Neurospora crassa OR74A: one gene and its partners. The protein of the gene in region 2 purifies or fractionates together with the protein of the main gene of each other region. This does not show direct contact. Links are inferred from orthologs where the notes say so. Each region holds a gene or a part of one and is shown on either strand. Other genes may lie near its edges. The genes, in order: NCU07874, hsp98 and NCU02380.

Region 1 (5,938 bases), about 1.4 Mb from region 2:
GACTTAATTCTTGTCATGATCGAACGATCTCCGTAACACCTTCTTCCGTCCCACAACAAGCTTATCATCCCCGCTGGTGGTTACCAACGACATCTTGTCAGGTCATCTGGATCCAGTCCAAAAGTTTTAAACGGCGATCTAGAGGCTTGTTGGACATCCAATTCTATACAAAGACTCATACAAGTCTACCCTCCTCATTTACTAAGTCCTTCAAGGGTATAACGTACATTTTGAAGGACATGATGCTACGTGAGATGAAATCGCGTACCGGAAAACGGAACGTGGAAAATGGGTATCTGTTTAAGAAACATCCAAAGGCCCACGAAAATACAACGGTAGGAAACGCGCAATGGGTATATCGGAAGAAAAATGCCGCCTTGAATCTTGCGTACACATCGAATTGAAATGCTGAAGGAGACGAAATTGGAGAACCGCCAAAGGGAAGAAGAGATCTTGTCGTGACGTGTTCTGGTAAAAGACCTCGAAACTGACTTAACTTTTGTGAAAATCTGGTATCCAGCGTTGGAAAGATTTTGGAAACATATCATCAGGAAGACGAGAGAGAAACACCTAGCAAACGTAGAAGTGTAGAGTAAGATAAGACGTTTCGATCGTAGCTTGAGAGAAGAGGAGAGAAAACCGAAGGAAATTACACAAAACCCAAACGGAGAAGAACTTGCAGAAAGAACCATTGGCCCGTGGGAATCACTCAGAGAAACGAAGATAGAGAAGAAAGCGCGAGAAAGAAAACGCATTCGAAACTTGACAGGTCAGAGATAAAAGAAAAGAAGGAAGAGCAGTGAGTGATACATGAGACCAGAGAAGTAAAGAAGACAGGCTCCCAAATTCCCAACAAAATGACTTCCAGTTCCAAAATCCAGTCCTTGATCAACCGGACTTGAGCGAGGATTTTTTTCCATCCTGGATGTGTGAAAAAGAACCATCCTAACACGAATGCAGCCGCAAAGCCTCCCACCTCTAGTTGGAGCTGAGAAAGCCATTAACTTTTCCACCACATGGCAAAGGCGTTTCAATAGAACGGAAAAGAGACGTGGCCCATGCTGTGACCACTACTAAGCAACTGCTCACCGAGGCTTCTTAGGCTTCTAGCCCTGGTAACCACCAAACCCATTGCCGAAGTTCTGGGCTGGGGACGGCTGGTTCCACTGGGCGTTGGGACCGGGCTGACCACGGCCATAACCACCAGCGCTCGGCGGGCCGTTGTAACCCATCTGGGAGCCGTAGCCGGCAGGTGACTGAGCTTGAGGGCCGTTGTAGTTACCTTGCTGGCCTGGGTAAGAGTCTACTTTGTGCATTAGCGGCTGACATGTAGAGACTAGTTCACCGAGTCAAGACTCACTGCCATAGTTATTGAAATAAGTGGAGGGAGTGCCGGGATAACCAGGCGTCTGGGCACTCTGAGGGCTATAAGGCTGGTTTGGGTCGAACTGTTGAGGGTTGGGCGTCTTGTCCTTGCCCCACTACACACGAAAGGTTAATAATGTCCTCGTCCAAGATAAGAGATTGTCACTTACGCTGCACTTCAAAGGCCGACCATTGACCTGATACCCATTAAGCTGGCAGATGGCCATGGCAGCATTCTCGTGAGTGTCCATCTTGATGAATGCAAAGCCGCGATCGGCCTGGAAACGAGACTCGACGACGTAGCCGAAGTTCTGGAAAAGGGGCACGAGGTCATTCTGAGTGGTGTAAGGAGTCAGGTTGCCGACATAGCAGGTCGTCTGCCAAGCAGGGGTCTGGGCGACAATCATGTCATAGCTGTGAACTCCGTGGGTAGGGAAGTGGTGGTGGCCATAAGGAGTGGTGGGAGTAAGACCCATCTGCTGCATAGCTTGCTGTTGAGCAATGGAAGGCTGACCCTTCTGGTTGGCCCAGTTGCAACGAATGGCACGAGATCCAAGCCATTCGCCATCCATAGAGCTCAGAGCCTTCTCGGCATCGGGACGGTCGCGGAAAGCAACGAAGCCATAGCCGCGGGAGCGACCAGTCTTCATGTCCCACATGACTCGAGCCTCGGAGACGGAGCCAAAGGCAGAAAAGGCCTGAAGCAGAACCTCGTCGTTGACTTCGTTGGAGAGATCGCCGACGAAGATGTGGAAGTGGCCCGAAGTATCCTCCTTGTTCTGGTTGTTCGACTGGTAGGCCCAGTTGACACGGATTTCCTGCATAATTACCGGTGGTCAGCTCTGCTCTATGGAATCATGGCCAAAGATTCGTAATGTGGAATGGGCGAACTTACGGACTGATGCACGCGCCGACCGTTGAGCGTCTGCATAGCACGCTCAGCCGCACCGGGATCATCATACTCAACGAAGCCGTAGTTGTAGCCCTTTTGCTGTTTGTCATCCTGAATTGTTAGCAGAATGTCTTGGGCGTCAAGGAATCAAACTGGCAGCCTCAACAGGCTGATGTGAAAAATGAACTAACTCGCGGCTGCTCGGAGCCAGGTTTACCCACGTTCTTGTCGGGAATAATTTTGACATTCTGGACATGGCCAGTCGTCTCGAAAATCTGTCTCAAGACGTCCTCGGTGACCCTAGGGTCAAGGCCGCCGACGTAGAGAGCGCGCTTGTTCGGCTCGGGGGCGGCGCGGCGGCCGAAGGGGTTGCCGGCGCTGGTGGGCGACATGATGCCGCTCGTGTCACCGTTCCCACCCATGGGCGACGTAATCGCCGTAGGGATGGGATTGGTGTTTTGCGGGATGTGCAGCGGCGGAGGAGGCATGTGTGCGGAATTCGCGTTGTTGTTTTGACCGTTCTCGTAGCCGGGCGCGCCTGCGTTTGGTTGAGGTGGAGGGGGAAGCTGTCCGGTGGTGGGAGGCGGGCCAACGTCAGCCATGTCGGAGAAATGGTCGAGGATCTGGTAGAAATCAACGAGCAGAGCGGCGATGGCGATGATTGGGGGACGAGCAGCGCAGAGACCCTCCTTGGCGAAGCAGGCCCCACTATAAGCAGCTGTTGAAACGATGGGGTGAGGCAGTGATTGTAGACGACTACGGGAGCGTCTGCGACTGTAATTTCCAGCGGACTTTGACTGGAAACTGAATAAGCTTGCAAGAAGGAAGACCTGACCGATCACAGTCGGGGAGATGCAGACTTCTTATTGCAAAAAGAAAATTGACCCCGCGCGAAAGATGCGACGGAAGAAGATTGCTCGAGTCTCGGCCACGTTCTTGTAGCTCGTTTTATAGTAGTTACAGGCGGGCGGGCGCAGTGCGGTAGCGCAAGATGGGATGGCAAACGGAGGCCGTTCGGTGGAGCAGACTCGCTGTGGGTAGGAGACTGTTGGGTGCACAGACAAACTTTGCGCCCACGAAATGGAAGGAATCTGAACGGAATGGCACTGTCGTAGATGGCTGGAGATCTCGGCGTGTATCGGGGGTCTAGACACGCGATCGTTGTTGAGCCGGCGAACAGCAGCTGAAGCCAGGGACGATGACGATGCGGAGACGGGGGACGAGGATGGCTCCCGTTGATGCGAACAGTAGAGGACAGGGATGATGGGTTGGTGACGGTCAGTCGAATAACCGACAAGGGGAACTAGGTAAGTAAAAGAAGAAGGGGAACTGCAGTGATGACCTGAACTAAACAGCAAAATAGTCAAGAAAGACAAGATGAACTGGAAAACGGCCGTAAACCCAAAAGGAAACGCCCCGAGATTCACAACAGCCTGTCCGAAGAGATGACTTGTCTGGGTTTCTTCTGCGATGGTGTTGTTCGGTGGGAGAAGAAGATAGGGAGAAGGGGGGGAAACATTTGGAGCTGACAATGAGCCTGATGGAGAAGACGGCCCGGGGTGAGCTCTGAAAGATGCGACGAGGACGGGAGGGGAAGGGAAGACGGGGATTTTTGATGGTGCCATCGTCCTGGGATTGGCGGGCAGGCAGCCACTGAGACGCGAGGACGGAAGGGTCAAGGGACAGAAAGGCACATTTGCAGAGCGGAGGAGGGGCGGGACGAACTCCAGAGGCAGGTTGGATCATGACCGGCCGATTCGATTCGCACTGGTGGACGGGCACGAGCAACCAGAGTATACCTAGGTAGTAACTGGCCGTCGCCGTCTTTATCTAGGGCTGATACTCGTAATCAACCCTTTCTTCACACGTGCCGTAGCAATCTCGAACGAAAGAACCATGGAGGTTCTGGGCGTTTTGGTGTCAACATAGGAGTAAAGTCTAGAGAATCAAGAGCTCTGATTGAGTAAATGGATGCCATATGTGGTTCCTATGATCGTTGGGACGTAGAGGTATCGAAACTATTGACCAGTAAGGCGCTAAGGGACCTAGGTACCTGTTATAGTCTGATATATACCACAGATACGAGGAGTCCGAGTATCAGTATATTCCCGTTCATCGACTTGCGTGTTGTCTGTCCATACCTATTCTGATCATTTTGATCCTGAAGGCGGAGCACCAGATATGAATGGGTGTGTGCTGAGGGTATCGAGGAGGTTAGTTGTTGTTGGTTCACGGCCCGGGGGCTGGAGGCAAGGCGCCAAGGTAGCCAACCACACTGTGTCGTGGGTAGCTGAGATATTGACTCCCAAAGGGTTCAAGGTTCAGGCTTTCTTGGTTTGGTCCCCTCTTCCATTCTCGAACTGGAAGCTTTCCTTTCCCTTCGAGATCATCAATGCGCCCTGTGACGACCTTGGCAGAAACGAAATACACTATGATTTTACCAGCCCTACACCTCTGCATGGACACAAAAGAGATATACCATTCCCTGCCATTCTCCAAAACGGCACTGCCCTTTTATATCCATGCAGAGATGTCGGTACAACCTCATCGCGGGCTGAATATGCTGAACATGCCACATTCGCAACGCAGGCACCTGGATGGTTTTCTATAAAAGGGGGATGGAACGCGTGGGTAGACCGGGGTGATACTTGCAGTGAATGCATGACCCGACTCGCCCTCCATCTCATCAGTCCGCCCAACACGTGCCAATGGAGCACGACGGAACGGCCAGCTGGGCCGATCTGTCATCGCCGACCACTGTAACGGCTCATTGTGTCAATGAGGGTTTGGCACTCTGTCCAGTAAAGTCACAGTTATATATAATTATACCTTCTTTGGCAGGACGTATGGCAGTAGAGAGTGACGAACGGAGGAGTTTACGGCAGCCGCTTTTTCGCACAATAGGTCATTGACTGCCGTGCTAATTGCCAGGTACCTATTGACAGCTCAAACTAAACCTAGTCGAGCAACAATACAGCCTTTACGTGTGGGGTTGAATCGAGTGGATTCGCAGAGCTTCTAGTTTGTGTAACCGCTGAATAAACAGCAATTGGTGGTCAAGATGAAGCTTAAACGGACAGTCCCATCGCAAGGGAACCTTTTTTTGCTGGATCTGTGTGAGGTGATTCTGTCTGCCCTCTGGGCCCGTCGCCCCGTCCCCTGGATTTCATTGCGGGAACGACAAGGCCAACTCGGGGAAGCACCCGACGCTGGCGGTCAAGGCACCCACGCCTTTCAACCCCACAAAGAGCCTCAACCGCGCGGAGGTTCCAGGGACCCGACTGCACACTCCGACGCTAGAACTGGAATTACCTACTACCTACCTACCTACATACCAGCACCGGCCCCTCCAAGGTGCAGAGCAGCTACCATCCATCAGCTTCTGAACACCGCATAAGTAACATCCCACCATTCTTCCATTTGTTTGAATTCCCACTTCAAGTTCCATTCAGTATCCCCTCAACTTCCAGGTTTCATACGACCTTGGACAACCTTCATTTGCAGTCACCCAGAACCTTGATCCAGATACCTCTCAATTCAACCACCACTGGATCAGACGCGAGGTCATAGTTCCATCGAGCCTGAAGAGTTCAGATACCATATTTATCAGAAGTTTATCCCTGGAGTGTGTGCTCGCACAGCAACAGGGAGATAGGAACTTGTCCATGCGTGGATTGCCTT
Region 2 (5,924 bases):
CGTTCGAGCCGTAGAGGAAGGGCTGGGCACCGTTGTCCTTGACCCAGATCTTATGACGGGCGTGCTCCGAGAGGATAGGAACTATAAGGTTGGTAATCAGGTTGTTAGCTTTCACATACATTCCAACTGTTTCAGTAACCGCATAAGGATTCGGCATTGGACATGGAACGTACGGGCAGTGATGTGAAGTCTGAACTTTCCCGTCTTGGTCATCTTTCCAAGGCAGGTACCCAGGCTGAGGAGGGCATCGCGGCTGACACTGGTGGCGAGGTTGGCAACGGAGAGACGGACGTAGTAAACCTGTATATCATCATCTTTGTCAGTTTATCTGGCCCTTATTCTGGTTGGTGGTGGTGTGGTGGCTGTCATCGCCGTCGCAACGGCTGTCGTTGTCCTCGGTGGCGCACAGCCAAAAGGGAAGAGACGGTGTATCGAGCAAGGTCGAGAGGAAGCGAGGGAGGCGAGAGAGGCAGGACGTACGCGAGAGTGGTTCAGACGGAAAACGTATCTGTCGCCATCATCGAGAGGAGCGATAAGACTCTTGAGATCGGTGCAGTAGTTTGCAAGCTTTAGGGTGCCAAAGCAATCAGTCAGCTGTTGTTCATCCTTGTTTGAATATGACATTGTTTCGGCACTGAAACTGACCTTCTCGAAGACGGTCTTCTGCTCCGTTTCTGTAAGAGGGCGCATCTTGTCGGTGTGTTGTGAATTGATGGAGTTGGTGATGCAATGCGAGGGAATCTCCAAGCGCTGACAGCCGCAACCGATGGAGGTTCGCCCGCGTTTCTCTGCCAGAACTTTTTTTTATCGACAAGGAAACCCACTCTTCCGATAATGGGGAGACGCCAAGCCATCAATTCTCCGCTTTAGATGCAATGGCTGCAGTGGATACTCGTAGCTAAAATAGCCGAGTCCCACTTTTACCCGCTTCTACGTTTGCCGTGCGCGACCCCAGCGTGCCGCCCTAGCGACACTGTCACAGGCCGGCAACTGAAGTGACAACCTGAAGCGGATAATATGCCACATCCATGAAGTTTATATTTCCAGAGGGAACTCCTGCATCGCGATGTTCATCCAAGTCCTGGTGTGATGGAAGAAACAAACCCCAGTCGAGGCCAATGATCTCCAGCTGTATCCAGCGGGCTACTCTCTTTCAGGATTCGGTCCTCATCTACACGATTGTTTTCCTGCGCGGCGAGCCTGGCTGACTTCTCAATCGTCCTGGTAGCCCAGATTGCTGGCAGGGTTAACCGTGCAAGTTAGCTTTCCAGAGATTGTAATGCATATCGGAGTGATATCGCAGCAAAGAAGCTCGCTGTTCAACTGACAAAAGCGTAACTAGAAGGCCACTTGACGTTGGAAGTGGCAGCTTGTGGTTCTGGTCGTGAATGGGTCGAGCCATGGCCTTGCACCCATCAAAGAGGGATTATAAGTCAACTTCTACTGACACAAAAAGAAGCCAAACTAGTATCAAGCATCGAGTTGATCGATTGCCATTCAGACTCCTCAACCAGTGTCTCCGTTCCTGTCCGAGGTTCTCAAGTGGGGAGGTGTTGATGACTACATAGTGGCAAACGAGACGTGGGAGTATTGTGGTATAGAATACCACCGAATGCACCGAATTCATCCATCTCGAAGGAATATGAAGTGTGACCAACCAAACTGGCTCACGTTGGGCGCGCTGGTTAGAGGAATCTCATGATACCCAACCCACCACGATGCGCAACATTACGTATTCGACTATCTCGTCGTAGAAATCACGGATGCGCAAGGAGCTTCCCTTACGCGGTAATCGCCGAAGACCTTACTGCGCCTTCTTGGCCAGACCTGTAGATGGGAAAAGGTATGTATGGTGAGAGAGAGATGCTGGAGTGTGAGGATACCGACATTGTGGTTCGTCCAACTGGGAGAGAACGTCCCTTGTTGTTCATCTGCGCAAACGAAGACAAAGAACAACGGTGAAGGATTATAGTGGAAGGAGAAGACGGAAGTGAAAAGAAGCATTGCAGTAACGTCCAGCTGTTTGGGTCTCGACAATCCTCTCTGGTTGGAGTCAGGTCGATGCAGGTACTGCGATGACGGAGAGACAGTCCGAAAGCGCGGACCCCACTGGAAAGCTTCCATGTGCCCCGCCCTCCAGGTACCCACTTTATACCCCTCAAGCCCGAACAGGAGCCAACAGTATATGGTGACAGGAAGACCGCTGAAGATTCGAGTCGCTTCGTTCTTGCGGGCAGCCTGCTTGCTTGTCACTATGATGTCGTCGCTTCCCGTGCGCCCGCCCGCACAGCTACCTCTACTTGCGACAGGCTGCGAGGACCATCGAGAAGCAGCTAGAGGTAGATACTCATCCCACTTGCTCTTGCACGGCCAGCTCGGGCATCAACTCGCGACTTCTCTCCCCACCAAGGCTCACGAATAAATTCCACTCCTTCTGACCTCTCCCCCCCGTCAGCGATTCTTTGTTTGTTCCCCAGATCAAAACACAAAAGTCTACTAAGAGATACCCCAAACACAATTGTTCTTTTCTTCTCCAAGATATACATCAAGAGTGAAGCCTCACGTCACACTAGCTTCATCTCAACATTTCCGCGATTTTTCTCTTTTGTACATCAACAATAACACATACACACACACCCCCAATCGAAACACAACACCACACAAATTCTGTAGGGACCAACAGAGTCTCGCACACTAATTCATCATGACGTCGAAAATGGAATTTACAGACCGGGCCAAGAAGGCATTGGAGGATGCCATGGCCCTGGCAGAGCAATACGCCCACTCGCAACTCCTCCCCGTTCATCTGGCAGTCGCGCTTCTCGACCCTCTCCCAGATCCGAGCAAGGACCAGCAAAATGCACCAGCCGGGGCAACCAGCTCTCTCTTCCGCCAAGTCATTGAGAGAGCCCACGGCGATCCCCAGCTGTTCGACCGCGCCCTCAAGAAGGCCCTCGTCCGCCTCCCCAGCCAAGACCCTCCTCCCGACCATGTCTCGATGGCTCCTTCCTTCCATACAGTCCTGCGCAAGGCCAACGAGCTGCAGAAGACGCAAAAAGACACATACATTGCCGTCGACCACCTTATCACAGCCCTGGCCGAGGAGCCCTCGATCATGAATGCGCTCAAGGAGGCCAACATTCCCAAGCCAAAGCTCGTTACCGATGCCATCCAGGCCATTCGCGGTACCAAGCGCGTCGACTCTCGCAATGCTGACACTGAAGAGGAGCACGAGAATCTCGCCAAGTTCACCATTGATATGACAGCCATGGCCAGGGAAGGCAAGATTGATCCCGTCATTGGTCGTGAGGAGGAAATTCGGAGAGTGATCCGTATTCTTTCACGTCGTACCAAGAACAACCCTGTCCTTATCGGTGAGCCTGGTGTCGGTAAGACTACCGTCGTTGAGGGTCTCGCTCAGCGCATCGTCAACGCTGATGTGCCCGACAATCTGGCCAACTGCAAGCTTCTGTCTCTTGATGTCGGTGCCCTGGTGGCTGGTAGCAAGTACAGGGGTGAGTTTGAAGAGCGCATGAAGGGAGTTCTGAAGGAGATCTCCGAGTCCAAGGAGATGATCATCCTTTTCATCGATGAAATCCATTTGCTCATGGGCGCTGGCGCGTCCGGAGAAGGTGGCATGGATGCGGCCAACCTTTTGAAGCCAATGCTCGCCCGTGGTCAGCTTCACTGCATTGGCGCTACCACCCTGGCCGAGTACCGCAAGTACATCGAGAAGGATGCTGCCTTTGAACGTCGTTTCCAGCAGGTCATTGTCAAGGAGCCTTCCGTTTCTGAGACAATCTCCATTCTACGTGGTCTCAAGGAGAAGTACGAGGTGCACCATGGTGTCACTATTTCCGATGCTGCCATTGTGGCCGCTGCAAATCTTGCGGCCCGCTACCTCACTTCCCGCAGACTTCCTGATTCGGCTATCGATTTGATCGACGAGGCGGCTGCCGCAGTCAGAGTCGCTCGAGAATCGCAGCCCGAAATCATCGATTCCTTGGAGCGCAAGTTGCGTCAGCTCAAGATTGAGATTCACGCCTTGTCTCGCGAGAAGGATGAGGCTTCCAAGGCTCGTCTTGAACAGGCGAAGAAGGATGCCGAGAATGTGGAGGAGGAGCTCAGACCCCTCCGTGAGAAATACGAACAGGAGAAACAGAGAGCCAAGGCTCTCCAGGAAGCCAGGATGAAGCTTGAGAGCTTGAGACAAAAGGCCGAAGAGGCTAGCAGAATGGGAGATCACAGCCGTGCTGCTGATCTTCAGTATTACGCCATCCCCGAGCAGGAGGCAGTAATCAAGAGGCTTGAGAAGGAAAAGGCTGCGGCTGACGCTGCGCTCAACGCCGCTGCGGCCGAAACCGGCGGTGCCATGATCACCGATGTCGTTGGTCCCGATCAGATCAACGAGATTGTAGCACGGTGGACCGGTATTCCCGTCACACGCCTCAAGACCAGCGAGAAGGAGAAGCTTTTGCACATGGAGAAGCATCTCAGCAAGATTGTTGTCGGTCAGAAGGAGGCCGTTCAGTCTGTGTCCAACGCTATCAGACTGCAGCGGTCGGGTCTCTCCAACCCCAACCAGCCTCCCAGCTTCCTGTTCTGCGGTCCTTCGGGTACCGGTAAGACTCTGCTCACCAAGGCTCTTGCCGAGTTCCTGTTTGATGATCCTAAGGCCATGATCCGTTTCGACATGTCTGAGTATCAGGAGCGTCACTCTCTCAGCCGCATGATTGGTGCTCCTCCCGGCTACGTCGGTCACGACTCTGGTGGCCAGCTGACTGAGGCCCTTCGCCGCAAGCCGTTCTCCATCCTTCTCTTTGACGAGGTTGAAAAGGCAGCCAAGGAGGTCTTGACCGTTCTGCTACAGCTCATGGATGACGGTCGTATCACGGACGGTCAGGGCAGAGTCGTCGATGCCAGGAACTGCATCGTTGTCATGACGTCTAACTTGGGTGCTGAGTACCTTTCTCGTCCCAACGCCAAGGACGGCAAGATTGATCCAACCACTCGCGAGCTTGTCATGAACGCCCTGCGCAACTACTTCCTTCCCGAGTTCCTCAACCGTATCAGCTCAATTGTCATCTTCAACCGTCTCACTCGTCGCGAGATCCGCAAGATTGTCGAGCTACGCATTGCGGAAATCCAGAAGCGGCTCCAAGACAACGATCGCAATGTCAAAATCGAGGTGTCGGAAGAAGCCAAAGACAAGCTGGGTGCTCTTGGTTACTCGCCAGCTTATGGCGCTAGACCACTGCAACGTGTGCTTGAGAAGGAGGTTCTGAACCGCTTGGCCGTTTTGATCCTCCGTGGCAGCATCCGCGACGGTGAGGTTGCCAGGGTTGTCGTCCAAGACGGCAAGATTACAGTCCTTCCCAACCATCCCGAGGTCAATGATGAGGACGACGAAATGATGTTGGATGAGGAAGACGCAGTTGACGAGGTTGCGCCGGAATCTGAGATGGATGAGGATCTTTACGACGACTAGATGTCTAATAGGAAAGATGACTCAGTCATGCGCGACGACGTAGAGGTGGACTAGGAGGATTAGTGAAGAAGATAATCGTGGACGCCCCGAGTGTTAGGGAGACGGAAATTTGGTATCATGACTTGAGGAATTTGAAAATGGGATAGCCTTCGGGGTTTAAAGCATGCACATTTTGCATTTGGAGTTTGGGGCCTGTATGTTTAGGTACGTTACATGATATGAAACGAAAGATGTTATGATTCACATGAGGTAGACATGATGTATCTAAAAGAACGGCGGAGAATTGATTCTGAAGATTTAGTGGGAATCAAAATCATGTGTTTACATCAGCCGTGGTCCTTGACATACACTAGGTACATATGATACTCTCCTTCCGCGTACAGTGCAAAGATCATATACAACTTAGCTACTACCGTAACAAAGCTGATTCCGTGTT
Region 3 (5,938 bases), on a different chromosome or scaffold from region 2:
TGAACGTCGGTGAAGAGAAAGGGAAGATTGAGAGACAGAAAGGTCTTGGGCAGGAAAGCAAAAGACGGGGAATTCTTTAACAGATGGAAAGCGGAGACAAAAAGAAAACTTAAAAAGTGAAAGAAGAAGAAGAAGGAACTAGCCGTGGGTCTGGGGGGTTTCTGAGAATTGTTGAAATGACTATCATGCCTGCTCTCTTTTTTTTCCTGCCATTTTCCTTTCTGGTCACTATCCGGTTGGCTGCATTGTGTAGTGCGAGTGTGTACACGCTTTTCCATTTTAGAATACAAATACCCTCTCTCTTTTTCCCGTCTTCGCCTTCTTGTCCGTATCCTGTCTACGCGAAATCATTTCTTCTGATATGCAGTGTTTAGGTCTATGCAGAAGCACCAGTGCGCCCGAGCGACAGACCACCAAACCATTTCCAAAGAATATCAAAGGCTCCTTAGTATAAGATTTAACAAAAATATTCGCCTCTTTCTCTACCGTTCTGTAACAAGCATATGCTAGATGACTATAACCCATACTCCTGCCTACGCCGCCCCCTTGCTGCCAACATGAACTTTTAAATTTGAGTTTGTTATTTCTTTTGCTTCATGTACTCCCTAAGTTGAGCTGGAGCTTTAAGCCTTGACCTCCTCCTTGGTAGCCTCCTCCTTCTTGGGGTTATGGGCAGGGAAAGGGTTGTACATGCCGCGATCGGCCTTGAGCGCGCGAAGCTTCTCGACGGCCTCCTCGAGAGAGTAGGGCACGTCACGGGCCTGGGTGGAGGTGTCGTCACGGTAACGGATGTTGACCTTGCGGTTGGTCTTCTCGTCGTCGCCGACGACAAAGATGAAGTTGTCTGTGTTGCGTCATTAGAAGGGGCAATTTTGGTAAAGGGGAACAGGCTCGCGACTTACATTGGGCAAGCTGGGCAGAACGAATCTTCTTCTGGAGGGTGTTGCCACTGCTATCGACATCTGTTGTGGTGGTTTTGGTGTCAGTATTCGATTTTTGTTTGCCCAATAACGGGGGTGAGTCAGGGAAAACATACCGACGTGGATCTTCTCCTTCTTGAGGGTCAAGGCAACCTCCTTGGCGTAATCAAGGAAGCCCATGCCAACGGGAATGACCATGACCTGGCGGGGCGACATCCAGAAAGGCCACTTGCCGGCGAAGTGCTCGGCAAGAATGGCAGTGAAGCGCTCGATGGAACCAGCCATGGCACGGTGAATCATGACGGGGCGGGCGCAGCCGGCAGTAAGGGGCTTCTTGACAAGAAGAGCCTTCTTCTTCTTCTCCTCGCCCTCCTTGGGAGCCTCTTCCTCCTCCTTGGGAGCTTCAGGCTTAGCAGCCTTGGAGGCAGCCTTGTCCTCATCCTGCTTGGCCTGGGCATCAGCGGTCATGTACTCGAGAGAGAAGTTGATGGGCTGCTGGAAGTCGAGCTGGATGGTGGCGCACTGCCAGGGGCGGTTGAGGCAGTCCAAAACAGCGATATCGATCTTGGGGCCGTAGAAGGCACCATCGCCCTCGTTCAGCTCCCAGGTGCCTCCAGTAGCAGCGACGAACTCGTTGAGAGCCTCCTTGAGACGAGCCTCGGCGCGGTCCCAGGTCTCAATCTCACCCATGTACTTCTCAGGGCGGGTAGAGAGCTTCAGCTTGAAGGTGAGGCCAAGCATGCCGTAGAAGGACTTCATGAAGTCGAAGAGGTCGGCAACCTCGGCCTTGATCTGATCCTCACGGCAGAAGATATGAGCGTCATCCTGCTGGAATCTGCGCACACGGGTAAGGCCAGAGAGAGCACCACTGGCCTCGTTTCTGTGGAGCACACCGAAATCAGCAAGCCTGAGGGGAAGCTCCTTGTGGCTGCGGTCACGGTGACGGAACATCATGGCGTGAGCAGGGCAGTTCATGGGCTTCAGACCAAACTGCTCCTTGTCAACGTCGAGAATAAACATGTCATCCTTGTAGTGAGCCAAGTGACCGGACTGCTCCCAAAGAGCGACGTTGAACATGTTGGGAGTCATGACCTCGTCGTAACCGCGCTTCCAGTACTCCTCCTTGATGTATTCCATGATGGCGTTGTTGATGCGCATGCCGTGGGGCAGCCACATGGCAGAGCCGGGCGAGCACTCCTCGAAGTAGAAAAGCTCCTGCTGCTTGCCAATGAGGCGGTGATCGCGCTTGGCAGCTTCCTCAAGGAACTTCTTGTGAGCGGCCATCTGCTTCTTGTCGGGGAACGAGACACCATAGATACGCTGGAGGGAGTCGTTGTTGGCGTCACCAAGGAAGTAGGAAGAGGAGTTCTTCATGATGGCGAAAGCCTCGATCCTGCTGGTGTCGGGGACGTGAGGACCACGGCAGAGATCGATAAGGGGCCCGTTACGGTAGACAGTGGTTCTGGTGCCGTCGGGGATCTTGTCCTTGATGATGTGTTGCTTGTATGGGTTGTAGGCGAACATCTTGAGCAGATCCTCCTTGCTCATCTCCAGTCTCTGGAAAGGCTGCTTCTCCTTGACGATCTTGGTGACGATGTTCTCGAGGGGTGCCCAGTCGCTAGACTGGACAGCGGCACCGCCGGGAAGAGCCATTTCGTAGTAGAAGCCGTTGTCGACGGGGGGGCCAATGCACAGAGAGCAGCCGAATCTGCGCTCGCAGGCCTCGCCGAGGATGTGGGCACTCGAGTGCCAGAAAACGAACTTGCCCTGATCATCGTTGAAGTCGAGGAGTTCTAGTTTGCAGCTCTTCTCGAGAGGACGCTCCAGATCCCATAGTGTCTCTCCGTCGATTCTGGCGACAACGGTGCGCTTGAAGAGGCTGTTGGAAATGCCCTTTGCGATCTCGGCGGGGGTGGTCTCGTAGGCCTTGCCGGTCTTGGTGGTGCCGTCGGGCATGGTGATGAGGATGTCATCGCGGGGGCGCTTGGCCAGCTCCTCCTGCTGCTCCTTGTAAAGCTTGTCGAACAGGTCGAGACGCTCCTGGATAAAGGCAGGAGGAGGGTTCATCTCAAGAGGGCCGGCATCGCCGCCAGCGGCGGGGGCACCCTTCTCCTTCTTCTGCTTCTTCTCCTTCTGGGGCTTGTCGCCGCCAATGGCGACCTTCTTGAGGGTCTCGGTAACTTTTTCGGTAACCTGCTCCATGTTGAAATGTGTCGACAGAACGTCGGAGGGGGTGTTCGGTTGCGATTGAAGGGTTCCTAAAGATAACGATTTCGCGGGTTGTGTCAGAGGCCCGGGCTGTGACTCACTTTAGACGTGTATGGTCGCAATAGCCCGAAGAGGGACGAAATGTTGGAAAGGAAGGGGGGGTGAGACTCACTCTTGACACGACACGATAGCAGCACAGAAGGGGACGTCTGGACCGACGAGGAACGGAACGAACGAAGGCGGCGCAAAGACACCGACCGCAAGGGGAAATTTTGGGACACTTTTACCCCGCGGTCCAGATCAGTTAAGGGCAAAAGTGGGGTGCTTCAAAGCGTACAGGCGTCACTTCTGCTGCGAGCACGAGGTGGAAGCCGCATAGGTACATATCAGACCCGGAAGGGCAGCAGTCATGACACGGACAGGGCGGCACCTAGGTACTGTTTGGCAACCTCAATGGCGGCCGCCCGGACAGGCACTCAACAAGACGGAGCAGCCCAGACAGCAGCGAGACACGTGCACTCTAATTTTTTGAACATTGAACGAACACCTGCGAGCCATATGTACAAACATCAAGTGCGCGTAAAGGCAGTAGAGGCACTTACACTGCAAGTACTTACACCAGTACGCAAGGTACTGCATAGTGTATACACAGTAAGAGCAGACGCTCGGGCCATCTCTTCTACGCCGTTGCGCCGTCCCAACTTTGAACTTTTGGCACCTTACCATACGGGCCGCAAGTCATAGGTGCCTGCCTGACCTCGCGATAATAAAAGCCAAATTTATTAGATAAGGTGCCGTCATTCAAATTCCAGGTACCGAGACGCCTCCCATTCTAACTAAGTTTTGCCTTTACCACTAATGTGACGCCGGAGCAGAAGTGACGGGAAGGATGACACATTGATTGTTCAACCTCATCCCGGCACGCGGAGAAAGAAAAAAGAAGAAGAACAAAAAGGTTACCGTCTGCCTCTCTGGCTTCCACTTTGCTTCTGCACTCCCGTCCCTCTTCCCTGTGCCGATCTGCCCCCAGTACAAGCACATCGCTGGATTTCCGCTCGACAGTCTCCTCGACTCTGGACCCCGAATCCCAGAGCTGAACTCTTTCTCCATACCTCTGACGTCTTGAACAAATCAGCTCCCGACAACTCAGCGTCCAGGATCCGGACCAGCAGTTGCGAGACGCGCACATATATTGGCAGCCAACACACCTTGGGTGTGCACCTGGCGAGCCGCGCCATGACGTCCTCCTCCTCACTGGACCGTTTTCCCGATGAGCTCATCCGCCACATCCTTCTATATGTCTCGCCCGAGGACAACGTCCTGAACATTCAGCCAGTCTCGCGGCGTTTCTACCACATTGCCAACGAACCGCTCTTATGGCGATATCTTTGCCGAAACTCGTTTACTTTCTGGGAGCCTGAACACTGCTTCTTCGCGAAACTGTCGGACCCGAGACCAACTACTATCGAGTGGAAGAAGCTATGGCTTCGAAGGAAAAGGCAGAACCACTTGATTAAACGCCTCCTGGACGAGATCCTCACAACGAGATACCACCAGCTGAAGAATCTCCAGCGCATCTGTCAGTTCGGTTACGACGCCAAGGACTTTCTTTTGGAGCAATGTCACGTCGATGAATCCCACGATGACGTTCTGGCCAGAAGGTACGCGGCAGCTCTCTTACGGCAATGCAGCTTGGTATTTCACGTACACTGCACGCAAGGGTCTTGTGTATCAGTTGATCCCCCTCTGATGGTGGCATCTCATTCATGCTCGGCCCAAGTGGGATTTGTCTAGATCCAAAGACCGTTCGGTTACTGAAATGTTCATCCAGGTACTATGCGAATTCAGCATTGGACAGTATCCACAGAGGCATGGCTGTAGAGGTATGGTCTAAGTGCTATGAAACGGGGACCGATCCGTACTCGGGGCTCGACCGTGCTCTCGGCGCATTCGACCTGTTCGTTCTACACGACCAGCCCCAAGACCTTGAATACGTATGTTGAACGCCATCTCTCGCGGCGGATGCATGTTAGCTCACACTTATTTTCCTCCACAGATACTAAGCACACTAGACACGCTCGCTCAGAGATTTATGCTGGAGCACCCAGAACATAAGATCATGTCGACAAGGCAGAAGGCTCTAGCCTTGAATCGCTGGCTGAGGGCCCAGAATCTCATGGGGATGGAGAACGAGACCGTCAACTACCACAACCTGAGGAACTGCCTTCTAGGGCACGCCCTGTCTGACGACGAGCATCCGTCACTTCCCATAATCTCGAGCGCCATATTTGCTTCGGTTGCCGAACGCCTCGGCATGTCAAGCGCATGTTGTGCATTCCCGAGCCATGTCCACGCGTCTGTGAAGGCTCCTCCAGGTATGACCTTGGATGGTGATGTGGAAGAGGACCCCAAAGCCGAACCGGAAACTATGTATCTGAACCCTTACAAGTGGGATGGGGAGGTCACACTTGATGAGCTTAGGAGGGCACTGGTCGAGTTGGGCTGGACTCAAGGGTCAGAGGTGTTTCTGAGGGCGTCGCCTGTGCCAATCATCGTCCTCCGAACAGCGGCCAATATCAAAGCCGCCACGAGTCGAATTCAAAATCTCGCCGACCGATCAGGGGAGCCCATCGAGGTCGAAGCGAAGCGGTTGCGGGCGGGTCATCCAGACATCAACGTGGAGGCGGCCAAGTACGCCTCAATGTGGGCCGAACTGATGGTCAAGCCGGTTTCCAGTGTTCACTGGGACCATAACCTTGAGACCTTTCTGCACTCATTTGCCATGTCGTGGGGCGAAGACGCCTGGATCG

The links.
Region 1: the proteins of hsp98 (region 2) and NCU07874 purify together in Saccharomyces cerevisiae (affinity purification with mass spectrometry; 3 studies listed by BioGRID). This does not show direct contact. The link is inferred for Neurospora crassa OR74A from reciprocal best matches to the Saccharomyces cerevisiae genes HSP104 and PUB1.
Region 3: the proteins of hsp98 (region 2) and NCU02380 purify together in Saccharomyces cerevisiae (affinity purification with mass spectrometry, with the first as the bait; 3 studies listed by BioGRID). This does not show direct contact. The link is inferred for Neurospora crassa OR74A from reciprocal best matches to the Saccharomyces cerevisiae genes HSP104 and THS1.

What each region holds. Positions count from the first base shown.
Region 1 is NC_026503.1:1,196,496-1,202,433, forward strand, and holds NCU07874 (nuclear and cytoplasmic polyadenylated RNA-binding protein pub1), read right to left. Parts: upstream 3,816-5,938; 5' UTR 2,860-3,815; coding exon 2,479-2,859; intron 2,357-2,478; coding exon 2,261-2,356; intron 2,184-2,260; coding exon 1,536-2,183; intron 1,482-1,535; coding exon 1,361-1,481; intron 1,304-1,360; coding exon 1,107-1,303; 3' UTR 99-1,106; downstream 1-98. UniProt on the Saccharomyces cerevisiae protein: May be associated with hnRNA within the nucleus and remains associated during nucleocytoplasmic mRNA transport, once the proteins are in the cytoplasm, disassembly of PUB1-RNA complexes may occur prior to PAB1 binding and formation of a translationally competent RNP complex.
Region 2 is NC_026503.1:2,634,902-2,640,825, reverse strand, and holds hsp98 (hsp98-like protein), read left to right. Parts: upstream 1-2,209; 5' UTR 2,210-2,704; coding exon 2,705-5,488; 3' UTR 5,489-5,913; downstream 5,914-5,924. Other genes in the region: NCU00105 (ribosome biogenesis protein NIP7), read right to left, coding at 1-81, 174-300, 481-567, 646-690. UniProt on the Saccharomyces cerevisiae protein: Required, in concert with Hsp40 (YDJ1) and Hsp70 (SSA1) and small Hsps (HSP26), for the dissociation, resolubilization and refolding of aggregates of damaged proteins after heat or other environmental stresses.
Region 3 is NC_026507.1:2,696,998-2,702,935, forward strand, and holds NCU02380 (threonyl-tRNA synthetase), read right to left. Parts: upstream 3,465-5,938; 5' UTR 3,301-3,464; exon of another isoform or gene 3,179-3,300; 5' UTR 3,123-3,178; coding exon 1,037-3,122; intron 963-1,036; coding exon 903-962; intron 845-902; coding exon 624-844; 3' UTR 197-623; downstream 1-196. Other genes in the region: mus-10 (mutagen sensitive-10 protein), read left to right, coding at 4,365-4,789, 4,960-5,122, 5,185-5,938.